Struthio camelus: one gene and its partner. The protein of the gene in region 1 binds, or shares a complex with, the protein of each later gene. Links are inferred from orthologs where the notes say so. Each region holds a gene or a part of one and is shown on either strand. Other genes may lie near its edges.

Region 1 (8,017 bases):
ATATGTGACCTGAAAACCTTCCGTCTCCAGGGAACGGCAAGAATCCAGCACACACTTGTGCTCTGTTTGGGTAGTAATGATGTGCTTCTTTCTGGATTTATAGAATCGTGCAACACCCTGTCATGCACAATCCATAAACAAGAAATTTGCTGTTAAATTGCTGAAGAGAGCAAACTTTACATAAAATCCTCATAAACAAGAAACTAGACCAAGTACTACACGGTACAGGCTGAAACAACTCATGCATAACAAACAAGAGAATTAGCAATAGTCCATTCTGCAGCATTACAGTTTACTCAGAGGAAGCCAGAAGGTAACTTTGACTCAGAGGAAGAAAATTTTTCTTTTCCAATTAATTACTCAACTATGCTGTAAAACTACAATTCAGACATTATTCCATTTCAATCTTCTCTGCCCCAAAGTCATGAATCTAAAAGGCAATAACATGTCATTTACACTAGATACTTGCATCACGATTCATTTTTCAAAAGCATCTCAGTTTTCAAAAAAGTCTGAAAAGTTGTTAGATAAAAATTCTACATATTTTTTATCAATAGAAACCCTTTTTTTAAAAACTTATGAAATCATATGGAATGAAAAATCTGAACAGCCACATACAACTACGCTAAAGGTTAAAATGTTAACTAGTCTTAGTCAGAAAAAAGTTCATAATCAGCATCTCTGCCGTACTTCACGATAAATGTTTTAATCGTGCAAGCAGAAGTACTGTGCTTAGTGCACGTAAGATAGACATACATTTTATCTCCAGTTAAAATAAAAACAAAAAAAAAAAACAAAAAAATACCATGAACTAATTTTAATTTTGTTCAGATCTAACCAAAAAATTCTAATATCTTTAAATTAGCATCAGAATGGAAAACTGTCAACCTAAAGAATTTTATGGACTAATTACATCAATAGCAGAAGGCTGAGGTGCTTTTCACCAGAGAACAAATCCCATCACATAAGCTCATTTTTAGAAGAAAACAAAACATCACATGTTATACCCTGCCCTCAAAACCATGCCCTAGAGAGCATGCCATCCCAATATTTCTTCCATCTATCTAGCAGAATATGGCAAGTGATAAAACAAACAGTGATAAAACAAACACATGCTAACAAGGTCAACAAATTAACACTTAAACTGTTGAGAGGTGTGTATGGTTCTTAACAGCATGATCTGTGACACAAAGCCCTTACAGATTCAATAACAGCTGTACTAAACAGCCACCAGTATAAACCTTTTACCTTAATTGCCATATTATTTGATTCTGTAGCACCACTGGTAAAAATAATTTCTCTGTGATCCGCTCCTATTAAATCTGCCACTTGCTGTTTAAAGAGAAACACAGATATGATTTGTTATTCTAACATGCAATGAATTCACCATATGAAAAACACAAAGTGTTTTCTAGAACACAGTCTTGAGCCTCGAAACAATTATAGCCAGTGCCTAACAAAACGGCACTACAGATACAACAGTCTAAATATCTCCATTAATACAGAATATATAAGGAAATCAAAGTCAACATTAGTAATGGTATTAAGCATTAGCTTCTCATAAAAGAATAATAGTTTAAAATGTGAAAACGAGTAAGTACTACATCCAAAATAAGCCACAAAGACCCATAACTAAGATTAGGAGAAAAAAATCTTATCAATTTATAATCATAAAGCATGAAATTAGCCCAGTTACTGCAGAAGCATACTAAAGGAAATGAGGTTGCTAAATCCAGCGCACAGAGAAACAGCTAAATAAAACAGTTTTTTCTTGCTTTTGATTTTCTTTTTAAATTCGATTTCTTCACCAGCAGGAAAACCGTGAACCTTTGGAGTGCTGAAGGCACTCACCCGTCTTGCTTTTTCCATGGCAGCCTCACTCTCCCACCCATAGGCATGAGTCCTGGAATGAGGGTTACCATAGTAGGTCATCAGATAAGGAAGCATGCTGTCCAGAACTCTAGGATCCTGCAGGACACAAACAGCTCAAGCTTAAAAACTGAAAATGAGGCGCATTTCCTTCCTCTCTAGGCACAAGTACCGTTCCTTATAGCCCAGAACTAGCACTTCTGCTCTAGTGCCTCTCTTCATTTCAGGCCAGACCGGGACAACTTAAGGTCATTGCACGTACTCCATACAACATGCCCTGCAAGGATCTGGCAAACACAACAAGTAATCTGGCAACCTCGGTCTGTACCGAGATGATCTCAGAAGAACTGGACTTGCTGAGGAGAAGGGATACACAATCTTAACAACTCATAGAAATTACACCAAAAAACAAAAAAAGTTAGTTATATTACTTCCTCATCTCTCCTCCAAACAACGCCCACCGCGGCTAGTTTTAGTTTAAGCTGTAACATGACTCCTCTCGTTACCACATCTTGCATCCACAAAACGTTAAGAAGATGCACTAAGTCTCTAAAATCCCCTGGGAAACGTGTAAGAGTAGATGATGGACAAGACTGTCGTCATGGCACTACAAAGACTTTTCCCGGATGACCGAGACTTCCTCCGTTACCAAAATAAAAACGTTTGTCAACCGCAATTCATTGTAAACGATGCTGGCGAGCAGCAGCCGTCAGAAGAAACGCAGTAAGCGCTTCAAGCTCAGGAAGCGAGCGCCGCAGGAAAAGAAGGAAACACAAGGGCAGGGAGCGTCTCCCTCGGCGCCCGCCGCCTTTCCTGCCCCGTGCGAAGCGTGCGCAGGGCCGGGCGGGGGCCGGCTCCCAGGCGGCGAGGCGCAGACCGCGGCCCGGCACGCACCAGCGGGGTGGTGGCCTGGACGTCCATGTACAGCGGCCGCAGGGCGCCGCCTCCATCGCCGCGTTGCCCTGCGGAGAGGGAGAGCCGCCATGGGGCGCCGGCCGCCGGGCACGCAGCGCCCGCTCCGGCCCCGCGCGCCGCCGCCCTCCCCGCCGCAGCCCCGGCCTTACCGCGTCCCGCTGCCGGCTCCGCTGCCGCCGCTGCCGCCGAGAGCCGCCGGGCCGCGGGGCCGCGGGCCGCCCGCAGGGCCGCCAGGCGCCGCCACACCAGCATGGCGGCGCGCGGCTGCGGGGCGCAGGCGGAAGCGGCCCCGCCCGCGCCGCAGCTCCCGGCCCCTCCGCCCGCCCCTTCCGGGAGTGCCACGGAGCGCGCCGGAAGCGGGAGGCCCGAGCGGCAGGAGGCGGAGGGCGCACCGAGGCGAGCGAGGGGCGAGGTACGGCTGGGCCGCTCAGCCCTGCGCGGGCGGCGTCGCTGGTGGTGCCGCTGCGACGCGGCCGGGGCCGCCGGGCCTCAGCGGCGCCTCGACAGCAAGCGTCGGCCCGGGCCGGGGGGGGGGTGGGGGCGGCGGCGGCGGGGGGTGGGGGCGGCGGCGGCGGGGGCCGGGCCGGGGCGGCGGGGGCCGCCTCTCCGGGCGCTCGGGGCTGGCCGGGGGCGGGGGCGGGGGGGGTGGGTGCCGCCTCTCCGGGCGCTCGGGGCTGGCCGGGGCCGGGGGGGTCGGGGGGGGTGGGTGCCGCCTCTCCGGGCGCTCGGGGCTGGCCGGGGGCCGCTGGCGGCCGGGAGCCGCCCCGCCAGGCGCGGAGGCCGGACGCGCGGCTGGAAGCCCGCGGCGGGGGCGAGCGAGCTCCGGGTTAAAGGACTTCGCCGCCCGGGTGCCGGTCGCGGCCGCGACACCGTTTCGTTAGGCGAAGGGGCGGGAGGCTGGCAGCAGGCTCCTGCTTTCCGGTTTATCCAGCCTCTCCTGCGAGCGGCGGCGCCCCCCAGGGAGGCCTTGCGAGCCTCGCTGTTTTAGTAACGCGGTTCTGCGCGTTCAAGCCCGGGTGATGACAGGGAAACTAGAGGTTTCAGCAGCGTGTCAGGAGAGAAATAGCGAGTCTGTTTCTGTTTTGCGAAATAGCGTAAGATCCCAGTTGTTTCAGCCCTTTTGGAAAGCTCGTGGTGTCACGGGACTGCTGGGGAGGCCTCTGCTATGAGTTACTGATCGTGGTGTGCGCAGCCCGGCTAAAACGGTGCAGCATGGACGTGGTGAAAGCCCAGTTTTGTTCTTTCTTGAAAGTAGCTGCTCCGGAAGGTTAGAGACGTTACTAGTGAGAAGAGCGCAGCGCCGCTGCTCCGAGCAGCAAGTTGGCAGTTTGTGCGACCCTGAACGGCCGTGCAAGGCGTGTTGGACGCGGGGGTTGGTCACGGGAGCTGCTGCTCCCTTAGACGTCCTCGTGCTGGACTCCCGTAGCACAGACTCGTTTTTTCCCGTTTCTCTGCTCTCCGAACTGTACAGGGAAAAGCCCCAGGTGAAAACACCTTGGGACAGCAAGCCTCGTGGCAGAGGCGTTGTGAGGGGGCCCCGCCTGTTCGTTGGGAGACACCAAACAGAAGTGCGCTCCAGCCCCTAGAGAAGGGCTTTACAGACGGTCCCGAGTGAGGGACCTCAAACTAGTTATCAGAAACATAGTGGCTTTCACAGAGGCTTGCTGACGGCAAAACAGGGCTGTCATCAAGGTATTGGCGTTTCTTTGCTATTGTTTCCTATTTGTTAAGTGAGCAAGCAAGTTTAAAAACTTCCTTCCTACAGCGTGTCTTCTGCTCCGAGTTGCAGAGAGAGGGAAAACCCAGGGCACTAGAACTGGGCCTTTCCAGTGTATTTTGCTAATAAACTGACAGGCTGCAATCCCGTTCCAGTTCAGTGACCTGCCTGGGCTGCCAGCTAGTCAGTTTGCCTACGGTACTACAGTAGTGAGAGGCTCTGGTACGTAAGGACCTCACAACTGCTGCTATCCAGCCCAATTTGGTTCTAGAAGTAGATTAGACAAAGTGGTAGATCCATGTTCCTTTTGTGGTTTTCTTTTGTGCTTTCTTTTCTAGATGCCTGTGACTGTGGGCCCATATGGGCAATCGCAGCCCAACTGCTTTGACAGAATAAAAATGGGTTTCATGATGGGCTTTGCAGTAGGCATGGCAGCAGGAGCGCTGTTTGGCACGTTTTCCTGCCTCAGGTATGTCGCAGAAATGGCTTTCCTGGACAGGTAACGATACAGCCAGAGAGAAATATTCCCCGTTCAGTTTCAAACAGAGCCGAACGAATGATCTGGACCCACGGCAGTGCGTACACGGCCATGTCTTAGCTCTAAAGATTGTCTGAGGTATTCTGCAAGCTCTCAGTGATCTGTATCTTGCTTGATTTGCGTGTCCCGTTTCCCTGCACCCCCTGCATGGACGTAGTTATCTTATTGACCTGGAGTCTTGAATGCAGGAGCCCAGTCTGAATTGGTGGCTGTCAGTGGCACAGTCCTATCGTAAACTGGGGAGAGGTAATAGCCCGAGTGCCCCTTATGCTATCCAGCATGCCAACACAGAAACAAAGAATGGTCTCTGCTCGGCCGAGTTACCTCTTGTGCTACTTTCTGGCTGGCTTTGGTACACATCATCCATTAAAAAGAGTTACTAAAGTAAACTCTAATATTTTGCACAACTCCTTGTGCTTGAGATTTTTTAACCTGTGATTAAAAATGGGTGATAATTTTGTAGTGCCCCTGAAAAGGAGGAAAAGGCACAAAATCTAATCTTAACATTTAAATTTAAAAATGTTCTGATCCCTCTCAGATCCTGCAGCATGTTTGTAAATGGTACTGTGCTAGTAGCAAATATATTTTGTATGGTATAAAGAAGCAGTGACAGTGGGTCTGTAATACTTGAAAAATGGAACGCAGCTACGTTACTTCTGTTGTGCCATTGTTCTGGAAAAATCTTTGTTTTGAAAAGCCGTACACAGAATTCCTTAGACACTACACTCCCTGCCGCGCTTAAAAGCCAAGTATTTCAAGAACTTTCTAAGAAACAGTTCACTTTTTTGGTCCAACCTTAAATAAATGTGAACAGGAGAACAAAAGCGCATCTGAAGACTTCTAGGCCTTTTAAATTTCTCTCATATTAAAAATACAGTGTCAGTGGTACATGGGAAATTAGTTGACAACGTGGTTTCCAAGTTGATGGTATTAAAACTACTGCCTATATAGCCAGACAGGACTAAGATTCAACAGTTCAGATCCTTTTTATTCCCTGGCAGGTCAAATATGCAGCCAGAACTAAGCTTTGTTTCCCCAAAATAAGGATGCGTGGGGCACTAGCAGTTAAAGCCTTTCCCGCTCCTCTTTTTCCCATTTTCTTTTCCTCTTTCTGCAGCATGCTACCAGTTGTCAGCACATCCATTTGTGGAGTCAGGGAATGGAAGTGCTTGGACAAGCTGAGGGGGAAACATTGTTACGTTTGTCTTGAGCGGGTCCCTCATGCACAGCCCCGCAGATCCCTATGCTGACACAAGGAAACGGCAGGGCAGGAGGGTACAGGGTCAGCTAGTACAGCCACAGAAGAAAATACACGTGGACCACTGGAGTGAGTCACTGAAGTGTCTCAAAGAAAACAGCTCTGCTTTTCTTTGCAGTAGGTCAGACACAGTGCAGCGCAGCCAGTCTTTGTGAAACTTGAAGATACCACTTTAAATTACCAATTTAAATTTAAACATTGATTTTTGGCCACTTGTGATAATCAGCTGGTTGTGTCAAACGTTTTCACCTCTGTGTGTGTCCGTCACCTGTCAGGGCTTCAACTTCTGTACAATTTTTACATTTTCTTTTCTCTCAGGATTGGCATGAGAGGACGAGAACTGATGGGTGGAGTTGGCAAAACAATGATGCAAAGCGGTGGGACGTTTGGGACGTTCATGGCTATTGGTATGGGAATCCGCTGCTAACTTGGAGCTTGGGTTTTTTAACCTGAAGAGTCCTTGTCCAGCCGTTCTTCCTCTGTACTATAATAAAATCTTTAGATACCTGGAATTTTGAGTGCTCCTCATGTGAAATTGTGAAGCATTATCCTACTCGCTTTGTTGATTGTAAGCTTGCTTTTTACCAAATGTTTTCCTCACTTCCCTTACTCCCATAAAAGTGAGACCTCCTAATAACCCTTTGTACTGTGTTACAGTTCATATTTCATAGGCTAAGAATAGTAAATGCTTTTTCCCTTTGCTACTTGGGCAGCTCACCTTTCTGATGTGTGGTTGTAAATACCCCAGCTCTAGGGTGACTTTCCCTTACTGAAAGTACAGGAAAACCAACTCCCTATTGGGGATGTTAGGCAAGTCCTTTAACTTGCTGAGGGCAAACTACTGCTTTTGGGACTTCTTCCTCTGACAGGCTGGAATCACATGCCCCCAGCTGAGTAGGAAAGAACACAGAACAGTTGCAAATGCAGTCATAAGATTTGGAAATCATTAAATTGGTGGTAAGAGAAAATAGTTCCTGTTGCATGACAGCTGAAAGTGTTTGGTATTTTGGGAGAAGTCACAAAGATGACTCAGCATTGTAAACAGAGGAGATTTAACTTCATTATCAGACTGTGAGAAACATTTGCTATGCCTCCCATCAATACTAGCATAGTCTGTGCTGTGGGGAATCAGCTCTTCTGTAAGTTAGTATCTTAATGTAATAGTAAGGAGAAGAGCGCAGCTGGAATATACTGCCTTTCGCAGTTCTGCCACACAGAAGGCCCGTACAGTTCTGTAGGGTGCAGCAAGATATGCTCCAACCTACAGCCCTTCCACAGAAGGAGAAAGGAAGTATAGAGCAGTGCCAGTTGCTACTGCTGTCAGTAAGGGGAACTCAAAGCTGTTTTTTCCATTTGCTTTACCAAGGAAGGGGGCATCATCAATGAAAGCAAGCAGTGCCACCAAACAACCTGTATGCTGCAGGCATGGTCTTTTTCTCCAACCTTCCTTAATGGATTTTATAAACTGGTCAAAACCTCACAGAGAAAACATGTTGTATTGCTACTTACCATCCACTAGCAGCTATAGCAATGCCTCTAGCAAACACTATGCTACGTTCAGTGCTGCAGTCTCCTGTTACTTGCCTTCTGAAACAAACCTCATCTTTGCTTCCATCATGTTGCAGTGGTCTGTGTTTCTGTTTAAAAGCAGCACAGGTTAGCCTGCGCTAGTCAGAAGTATTAACCGAAGAAACTGAACCAGCACCTATACAGCCTTTAC
Region 2 (8,084 bases), on another chromosome or scaffold:
ACTGAGCACAGGAGAAAGCACATGAGAGGGAACAGGTCTGATTGTGAAATGAAACTTCCGACACAGCTGTAGTTTGCAGACAGATGAACTGCCTCACATTTGTATACTGCATTGATATATAAATTGACCTGCAGTTCTTACATAAATATTAAGACCAAGGCAACGTTCCCACTAAACTCTGTAAAACATTAGGCAAAACTATACATCTTCCAAAAAGTGCAGCCATTCCAGCACTGGAACACCAGAATTTTCACTTCTGAGAGAAGCCACTATAGCTGTCTGCAGTTAAGCAGTCTCCTTCACCCAAATATTTCCAAGAATAGTCACGATAGGATACAGACTGCTGAAATACCCACATTCCAGTCACTTAAGCACTACAAGTGTCTTAACACACATGGAACAGTGACACATTGTGCGTAAGTTGTGCGTATCTTACAGCTTCATTTAGTAGTGCACAGGATCCTACTAATAGCTAGAGTAATTGCACTGCAAATTTAAGTGGAATGAGAACAAGCTCTACAGTCAGTTTAGGCATTGTTTGCTTTCTTCTCCGACTCTTCTTTCTTTGGATCCTGCTTCAGCTTGTAATCAGCCAAGGCGGCCTTGATTGCATCTTCAGCCAACACTACAAAGAAAACAAAACGAGGCCTTACAACTATTTCAAGAGAGGCGAGAAGTCATTTTGAACACAATATGCAGTAAAACCAGCAGCAGTAAACCCCACAGAAGTTAGCGTAGGAGTTTGAGAACAGGGTCAGTATTTTAGAAGCAGACAGTCAGGAGTCAGACCTTTTATTGTCACCAGTCTTCTGAGCTACACAAAACCCAAAAGATGACAGACTTGGAAACTTGTAATGTCACCCCAAAGCCCGAATATAAGCTACTTTCTCTTGCAGGCCAGCCTCAGTTGTTCCAGGTACAGGTATTTGATTTGGACAATAACATTTGGAAGCATCTGTGCTATTGCCAGAAGTCTTATTCCCACAAACTTGTCTTTGGACTTTAATAGCTTAGTCCTTTACTTACTAGAGCAGTGCAGTTTGACTGGAGGAAGGCAAAGTTCTTTAGCAATATCTGTATTCCTGATCTTCAAAGCTTCATCAACCTGAAACATACAGTTAGTGTGAAGATACTAGTCATCTGATAAATAATACAGGCTCCAAACGTATTTGTGAGAAGAGCGCTTTAAGGCTCCAGAGGCCAACAGAATCCACAAAGAATATCTCAACTGCCCCTGGCAGCAAAGGACGCTGGACAACACGCTAACACGAGAAAGACCCTCAACATCTATCCAGTTTTCTTCTGTGCCAGCCAAGTAACAATCTCAAGGAATGCCTCAAGCCAAGCAGCAGTGTTAACTAACCAAAACATGCTAGTGTTATGGACTGAACATGACTAAGGAATTGTTTTAAGTTTGTTTACCTTTTCCGCACAATACTGAAACCCATGAACTCACCAAAAAAAAAAGGGGGTAAGTAATCTGAAAAATGTGGTTTTAAAAGTTTTTTTCCAGATCTTGCAATCTGTTTTTCTTGCTGTATAATCCACAAAGCGTTTCTCTGCAAATTAGTGCAGGTTCTTGGAGGAGACAGCTACTGCCCCAGAAGCCAGGCCACTGACAAGGACAGAGTTCTCAGGCACAGCTTTCTAAGCTAGTACATTACATAGCACCACTTCTCCAGAGCGCTTTCCAGGCCTCCGCTTCTTCGGTGGCCCCAACACAGTGGGGCTTGAAACTTCAAACGCTTTCCACGGCACTGCCTCCACAGAGACCCTTACCGTTTTCCCTTTAACCCACTCCGTAGCCAGCGAACTGGAAGCGATGGCCGATCCGCAGCCGAACGTCTTGAAACGGGCATCGATGATCTTCCCGTTCTCGTCCACCTCCACCTGCGGGAACGTCGGCAGCAGCACCTCAGGGGCCGGCTCTGCCTCACCGGGCACCCCTGAACCACCCCTGGGGGGGGGGGGGGGGGGCAGCACCTGACTCACACCCATCCCCGGGGGAGCAGCGACAAGCCCTGCCTGGGCTCGGGGCGGGGGGGGGACAGACAGGACCAGGCCCGTCCCTGGGGCAGGCCAAACTGCAGCAGGCCTCGCTGCGGCCGAGGAGCCCCAAGGTCACAAGTCGGGGGGGGGGGGGGGGGGGGAAGAGGAGAAAAGAAGGGAAAGAGAAGAGAAGGGGAGGGGGGGAAAGGGGGGGGAAAGAGAAGAGAAGGGGGGGAAGGGGGGGGAAGGGGGGGAAAAGAGAAGAGAAGGGGGGAAAGGGGGGGGAAGGGGGGGAAGGGGGGGAAAAGAGAAGAGAAGGGGGGAAGGGGGGGAAGGGGGGGGAAGGGGGGGAAAAGAGAAGAGAAGGGGGGGAAGGGGGGGAAAAGAGAAGAGAAGGGGGGGAAGGGGGGGAAAAGAGAAGAGAAGGGGGGGAAGGGGGGGAAAAGAGAAGAGAAGGGGGGGAAGGGGGGGGAAGGGGGGGAAAAGAGAAGAGAAGGGGGGAAGGGGGGGGAAGGGGGGGAAAAGAGAAGAGAAGGGGGAAGGGGGGGGAAGGGGGGGAAAAGAGAAGGGGGAAGGGGGGGGAAGGGGGGGAAAAGAGAAGAGAAGGGGGAAGGGGGGGAAGGGGGGGAAAGGGGAAGGGGGGAAAGGGGGGGGGAAAGGGGGGGCCCTCCCCTCCCGCTCACCTGGAGCTTCATGACGTCCCCGCAGGCGGGGGCGCCCACCAGGCCGGTGCCCACGTTCTTGGCGTTGCGGTCGAGCGAGCCGACGTTGCGCGGGTTCTCGTAGTGGTCCACCACCTGCGGGCGGGCACCGCGTCACCAAAGCCCGTCGCCGCGGCGGCGGCGGCCCTCCTCCCCCCCACCCCGGTCCCGTCCCGTTGCCCCTCACCTTCTTGTGGTAGCCCAACCTCGCCGCCGCCTCGCCGCGCCCGGGCCGCAGCAGCGCGGCCCCCGCCGCCCTCAGCGCCGCCATCTTGGTCCGCGCGGGGGCGGGTCGCGCCGCGCCGCCCTTTTATCGTGTGGCGGCGGGAGGGGGCGGGGCCGCGGGGCGCTGCGCGGGCGGCCGCGCTCCTCACGGGCCTGGGCCAGCGGCCTGGCAGAAGCGGGGCGGGCGGGCCGTGCCTGGCGGCTCCCGGCGAGCCCCTTCCCCTCTCGGCTGTCGTCTCTCCCCGGACGCTGGCTCTGGCCCACGCTTCGGTGCACCCCCCCCCCAAGTACTCAGCCGACGGTTACGTTGCCGGCGGTTCCCCCAGCCCCTCCGCGCCCCCTCGCAGGAGGCTCCTCAGGTGCCGTCAGGTCGCCCCGTCCGCCGCTGTTTCCGCGGCATGGCGGGGCTGGTGCCGGGAGAGGCGCGCGGTGTGGCAGCCTGGCGGAGGGCGCGGGGGACGCGTGCTCGGGCAAGATAGGCGGCCGAGCCCACGCGAACGTTATCTGGCCGCCTCGGGCAGCGCGCCGGTGATGTAACCCGGACGCGAGGAAAGCCATCTCGTAAACAGAGGGAACGCTTTGGGCCGTCTTCAAGAACCCTAACGCTGTCACTAAAACGGATGAACAGTAGCTCGGGGTGTTTTTTTTTTTTTATTTTTTCGGCCGCGAAGTGTGGCGCAGCAGCCGTTGGCGGCCGGGGCGGGGTTGGGCTCCCCGCCAGCCACCGCCACACTCAACATGGCGGACCGGCGGCGCACGCGCGCTCCGGGCCCGCGCCGACCTTCTCGGAGGCCCCCCGGCGGCCAGGGCCCGAGGTGGCCGCAGCGATGCCTGCGCCTCGCAGCAGCCGGCAAGCGGGACGGCCCGGAGTCGCTCGGCCGGGAGCGGTGCCGGTGCGCGGCGGAGCGCGGGGCCCTGCGGGCGGCGGCTCGCCCCTCTCCCCGCGGGGTTTGCCCGGCGGCAGGGCGTGACGGCGGCTTAGGCGCGGCGCGGGCAGCCCCGGCGGCTGGCGGAGCGGCGCTGGCTGCGAAGGGAGCTGCATAAGATGGCGGCGGCGGGAGCCGAGGCGGCTGCAGCGGCGGCGGTGGAAGAGGAGGAGGAAGAGGAGAAGCGGTTACCGGAGGGCGATCCCGAGTCGGGTGGCGACTCGGAGGACGGGGGCGACTCGGACTCGTCGGGCGACGGGGAGGATGAGGAGAAGGAGAACGAGGCCGAGATCCAGCGGCTGGAGGAGCAGGTGAGGCCTGCGGGAGCTGGCGGCGTGTGAGGAGGGGGCGGCGGCGGCGGGGCAGCTCCTCGGCCCGGCGCCGGCGGGGGAGCGGCGCAGGCCTCGCCGCCCGGGCCGGCCCCTGCGCGGGCGGCCCGCCTCCGCCGCACGCGTTGCCATGAGAGACGCGGCGGCCGCGGGCGGCCCGGCGGAGAGGGGCGGCCGCGCCGGGGCTCGTCCCTGGGAACTGGCGCCTTCCCTCTAGGCAAGCAGGGCGCGGAGCCCCCCTGCGCGCTGACTTTCCCTTTTGTGGCTAACGAAACATCCGCAGCGATGCTGGGAAAAAAAAAATCTAGGGTCGCTCATGTAGCGCGGTGCTGAGATTCTGTTTAGACAGGAGTATTTGGAGTCTAAAGTATGCGTGTGGAGGGGGGATTGTTTGTTTTTTGGGGGGGAGGGGAAGGTTTTTTCAAAAAGACTGCGAACGAGAGTCTTGGTGAATGAACAGCTTTATTCATCGAAAAAGCTCTTCTTGCTGCCCGCGTGTTTTGTTTGTTTGTTTTTGCCATGGAAGAAACAAAAACGCTTTGAAAACCTTTCCTTACTGAAGAAGGCTTTGTGGTCAATATCTGCTTTGTGTACGGATGGTGACATTGAGGTTGTTTAGGTGTGTGCTGTCGCCTTTTGCAATGGCAATGATGTCTTTGGTCAGTTTTTGCAGCTAGTGGTCCTGTGCTTCTGACCCCAGAGTATGCGCTATTCAACAGTAAATTAGCCCTAAAAACTTAACTTTAAAGGTTTGCCTAACTTGGCAGTTTTTTATGAATTCTCTGAATGGAAAGTATCTCGCAATTGGTAGCGAAGTTTGGCACTATCTGTAGGAAGGTAGGTGCTGTATCTCTTGTGTGAACAGATGATGACATTCATATGCTTGGAAAGAAGGTATGGTGTTCTGTTCTGCTAAGCGTTTTTTGACTTCTACGTGTCCATCACTTAACAGTTCTTGAAAAAGGCTTTTTTTTTTTTTTTTTTTTTTTAAAGCTTTCTATCAATGCTTTTGACTACAACTGTCACTTGGATCTGATAAAACTGCTCCGCCAGGAGGGAGAGCTGGTAAAGCTCAGAAGAGCTCGTCAGAAGATGAGTGAACTCTTCCCGCTTACTGAAGGTATAGAACGTGTTCAGCTAATGTTGCAGCTACTGCTATTTAAGCACCATCTGCGTGAAATGTAGTAGTGAAATGTTTCAGTATTCAGTTTCAGTAGTGAAATAGTCAGGTCTCGACACTGAAGTTTCAGACCAAAGAAGCCCAAAAGAGCAGACTGGGGACTCTTTAAACTCTGAGCAGTGTTGGTGTTGATGGCCAGCGTTGACCTTGGGCTCTGGCAGATGCACTGCAGGAATTCAAATTTTTACCGCTTGCAACTGCCTGTGCTGTCCTCTGCCAGAGGTTACTGCTGTATAACGGAACTGGTGGGAGGGTACGTGTCCATGTTTGTGCGCGCATGCATGCGTGCCCAGCTACTCCAGTTTATGGCCTGTTAGCCTAAGCTGCTGGAGAAGATGACTTGCTGCCAGGGTGTGAGCTGCTGCAGCCCAGGAGCAGGCGCGTGTTTGCTTGTGCTCGCTTTGCTATGGGGTTGGTAACATACAGCTGAGGGATGGCGGTACGGAAATGGCTGTAGTCATTTTTTCAGTGAATGTGACTCAGAGCCTAGACAGACTGTCAAAAGTTAATATTTTTGTTTCCTTCCTGTGCAATTTATGTTAGTGGAAGCTGTAGATAGCCCTTGGTGTGTGTGTCTTTCCCCCCCCCCCCCCCCTTTTTAAATTCGTAACAAATTCCGAGGTGGTATAAACATTGCAGAGGCTGTTCTGCCACTTTCCTTTTAGCAAAGGCAGGGGAAGATTTCCCCTTTATGTTTCAGGAACTCTGCAGCCTGTAGTGCTGGTTACTGGTGGCGGGGGTGGTGCTTGTTGTTGTTGTTACTTTTTTGTTCTTAAAGTTTCAGGAAAGATATATCTCTTTATGCCTCTTTGGTTGCTGGCACCACGCTGATCTTCTGCCCAAGGTGTTGATGAGTCACTGTTTGCATCTTCTGCTTTCTTAAAATACAAATGTACTTTTTTAGTACCAAGTTGGAAAAGTCTGTACCGGACTTCTCATTTAAATTAAGCCTGAGTAATTGTGGAGGCCAAACTCGCTCTCTTCTCCCCCTTCCCTCCCTCTGTTTTTTTAAGGAATGTGACTTAAAATCTGTCCACAATATTCAACAAGTGGGTTTGACTTAATCTTTCTGAATGCTGGTGATGCATTCTAAACTTCTTGCTTTCAGAAATTTGGCTGGACTGGTTGAAGGATGAGATAAAAATGGCTTCTGAAAGCTCTGAGCGAGAGAAAGTTTATGAGCTGTTTGAGAGAGCCGTGAAGGACTACATCTGTAAGTTGTTAATATATCCTACAAAAGGTGTAGTGTTGCATTTGGGTTATGGCTTTCCTTTTCCAGGAGAGTTTCTTCCTTTTCCTGTTGCTGTTATAATGCAGAAAATGGATCAAAATATTAGTATGAAATAGTCCTCAGTTTTTCTGTAGCAAAGCAATTAACAAGTCTTGGCTTTAAATGGCCTTCATGTACCACTGCAGTCTAAGGTTTTCTAGAAAGATGTTGCAAAAAATTGTAAATGCTTTTTTCACATTTCTCTGATTTCAAAAAGCAGCAAATATTATGCATACTTTGCTGGCTTTTCATCAACTTTTTACCTGCAGACAGTGCCTCCTGTGTTACCCATTAAGGGTTCTTTAGCTCTTCCTTTTTGGAAGAAGAATGCTTTTAAAAGGCTGGCTTCTGCAGTCATTTTCTGTGTTGCTTACTGCTGCCCTTACTGTTGTTTCCACTGTGTGACAGCTCTTTCGGAACAGGTCGCAGATACTGCCTTGGAGACGGCATTCTCAAAACCCTGCTAAATAGGTGACTCTTGCCATGCTGCAGTGCTAGTGCCTTTTCATTAAGAAGGAGAGAAGTGTGTGGGGCCTTGTCTTTCCACTTGTCAGGACCTCACTGCTGCCGTGTGCCGAGCTGAAGCACTGAAGAATCTTATTCTTTTGGGGTGTTGTGGTGACAATCCCCTGAAAACAGGTAGCCTGAAATGAGTAGTAGAGGGAGGACATGGTAGCATTGGAGGAAAATCACTTGCAGAAGCTATACATAAAGTGTCACGTTACTGCACCAGCGCAGCTGACGCTGCAGGGTGTTTTTGATGGTTCAGGAAGAAGGACTGTAGAGACCCATCTGCTGAATGGGTTGTGCTTAGGGTTTGGAAAGACTCTTTTTTTGGAATTTGAGTTTTGCAGTGTAACATCTGTTGGTTGATCATCTCTACTAGGGTCCTTGATTTGCTCGAGGACTGCTATTGGAGGGATGGGTGCTGGGCAAGCTAAGGCCATTCTGGCACCTCCTCCTCGCCTTCATAATTATGCTGCTTAAGCAGTGGCTGAACAGGCAGTTATGGGAGTCTAGAAAGAGGACCTACCTTCATCTCTGACTTCTCTAGGAGTGTGACAGCTTCGTGGTCCCAGCTCTGTGCACGTGCTCGAGAGAAGTGCTGTCGGGCACTCTTGATGTACCTCTTTAATGTAGCTTGCATGCCAGAGGTGGCAAATGGAGTCTGTCAGTGCCAGTAATGACCACAATGGTGACCTCTTTCAGAAGAGAAATTTTTAGCTGCTGGTGCTGATACAAGTCCCTAGAATTTAGGGTTTTTTTTCCCTCCCGCTACGTTGGGTGATAAGGACAATTCACGTATCTTGGTCTGTTTGTATGCTGTGAGTGATGGGTGTTCAGGAAGTAGAGGCATGTTTTTGTTTGTCTGAGGAGGTTAGGTTATCTGTTTCTCACGAATCTTTATAGGTCCTGAAATTTGGCTGGAATATGCCCAGTATTCAATTGGTGGCATCGGACAGG

What was found.
Region 2: the proteins of NFS1 (region 1) and ISCU are in contact, whole or in part, in a crystal structure (PDB 6W1D), measured with the Homo sapiens proteins. The link is inferred for Struthio camelus from reciprocal best matches to the Homo sapiens genes NFS1 and ISCU. Residues at the interface, in NP_066923.3 of Homo sapiens: Tyr360, Val361, Glu362, Glu364, Ser365, Leu367, Met368, Ala369, Lys371, Glu399, Asp400, His403, Ser404, His429, Arg432, Leu433, Glu435, Met436, Ser437, Pro438, Leu439, Glu441, Met442, Trp454, Thr455; in NP_998760.1 of Homo sapiens: Tyr35, Val40, His42, Tyr43, Glu44, Val49, Gly50, Ser51, Leu63, Val64, Gly65, Ala66, Pro67, Ala68, Cys69, Gly70, Val72, Lys74, Phe90, Lys91, Thr92, Phe93, Gly94, Cys95, Gly96, Ile99, Lys135.

Annotation. Positions count from the first base shown.
Region 1 is NC_090959.1:1,433,148-1,441,164, reverse strand, and holds the start of NFS1 (cysteine desulfurase), read right to left. Parts: upstream 3,037-8,017; coding exon 2,764-3,036; intron 2,728-2,763; exon of another isoform or gene 2,519-2,727; intron 1,969-2,518; coding exon 1,852-1,968; intron 1,333-1,851; coding exon 1,249-1,332; intron 118-1,248; coding exon 1-117. Other genes in the region: ROMO1 (reactive oxygen species modulator 1), read left to right, coding at 3,035-3,196, 4,840-4,970, 6,616-6,724.
Region 2 is NC_090958.1:18,833,584-18,841,667, reverse strand, and holds ISCU (iron-sulfur cluster assembly enzyme ISCU), read right to left. Parts: upstream 3,010-8,084; 5' UTR 2,962-3,009; coding exon 2,878-2,961; intron 2,787-2,877; coding exon 2,673-2,786; intron 1,891-2,672; coding exon 1,780-1,890; intron 1,106-1,779; coding exon 1,027-1,105; intron 626-1,026; coding exon 528-625; 3' UTR 70-527; downstream 1-69. Other genes in the region: SART3 (squamous cell carcinoma antigen recognized by T-cells 3), read left to right, coding at 3,961-4,152, 5,164-5,290, 6,459-6,563, 8,031-8,084.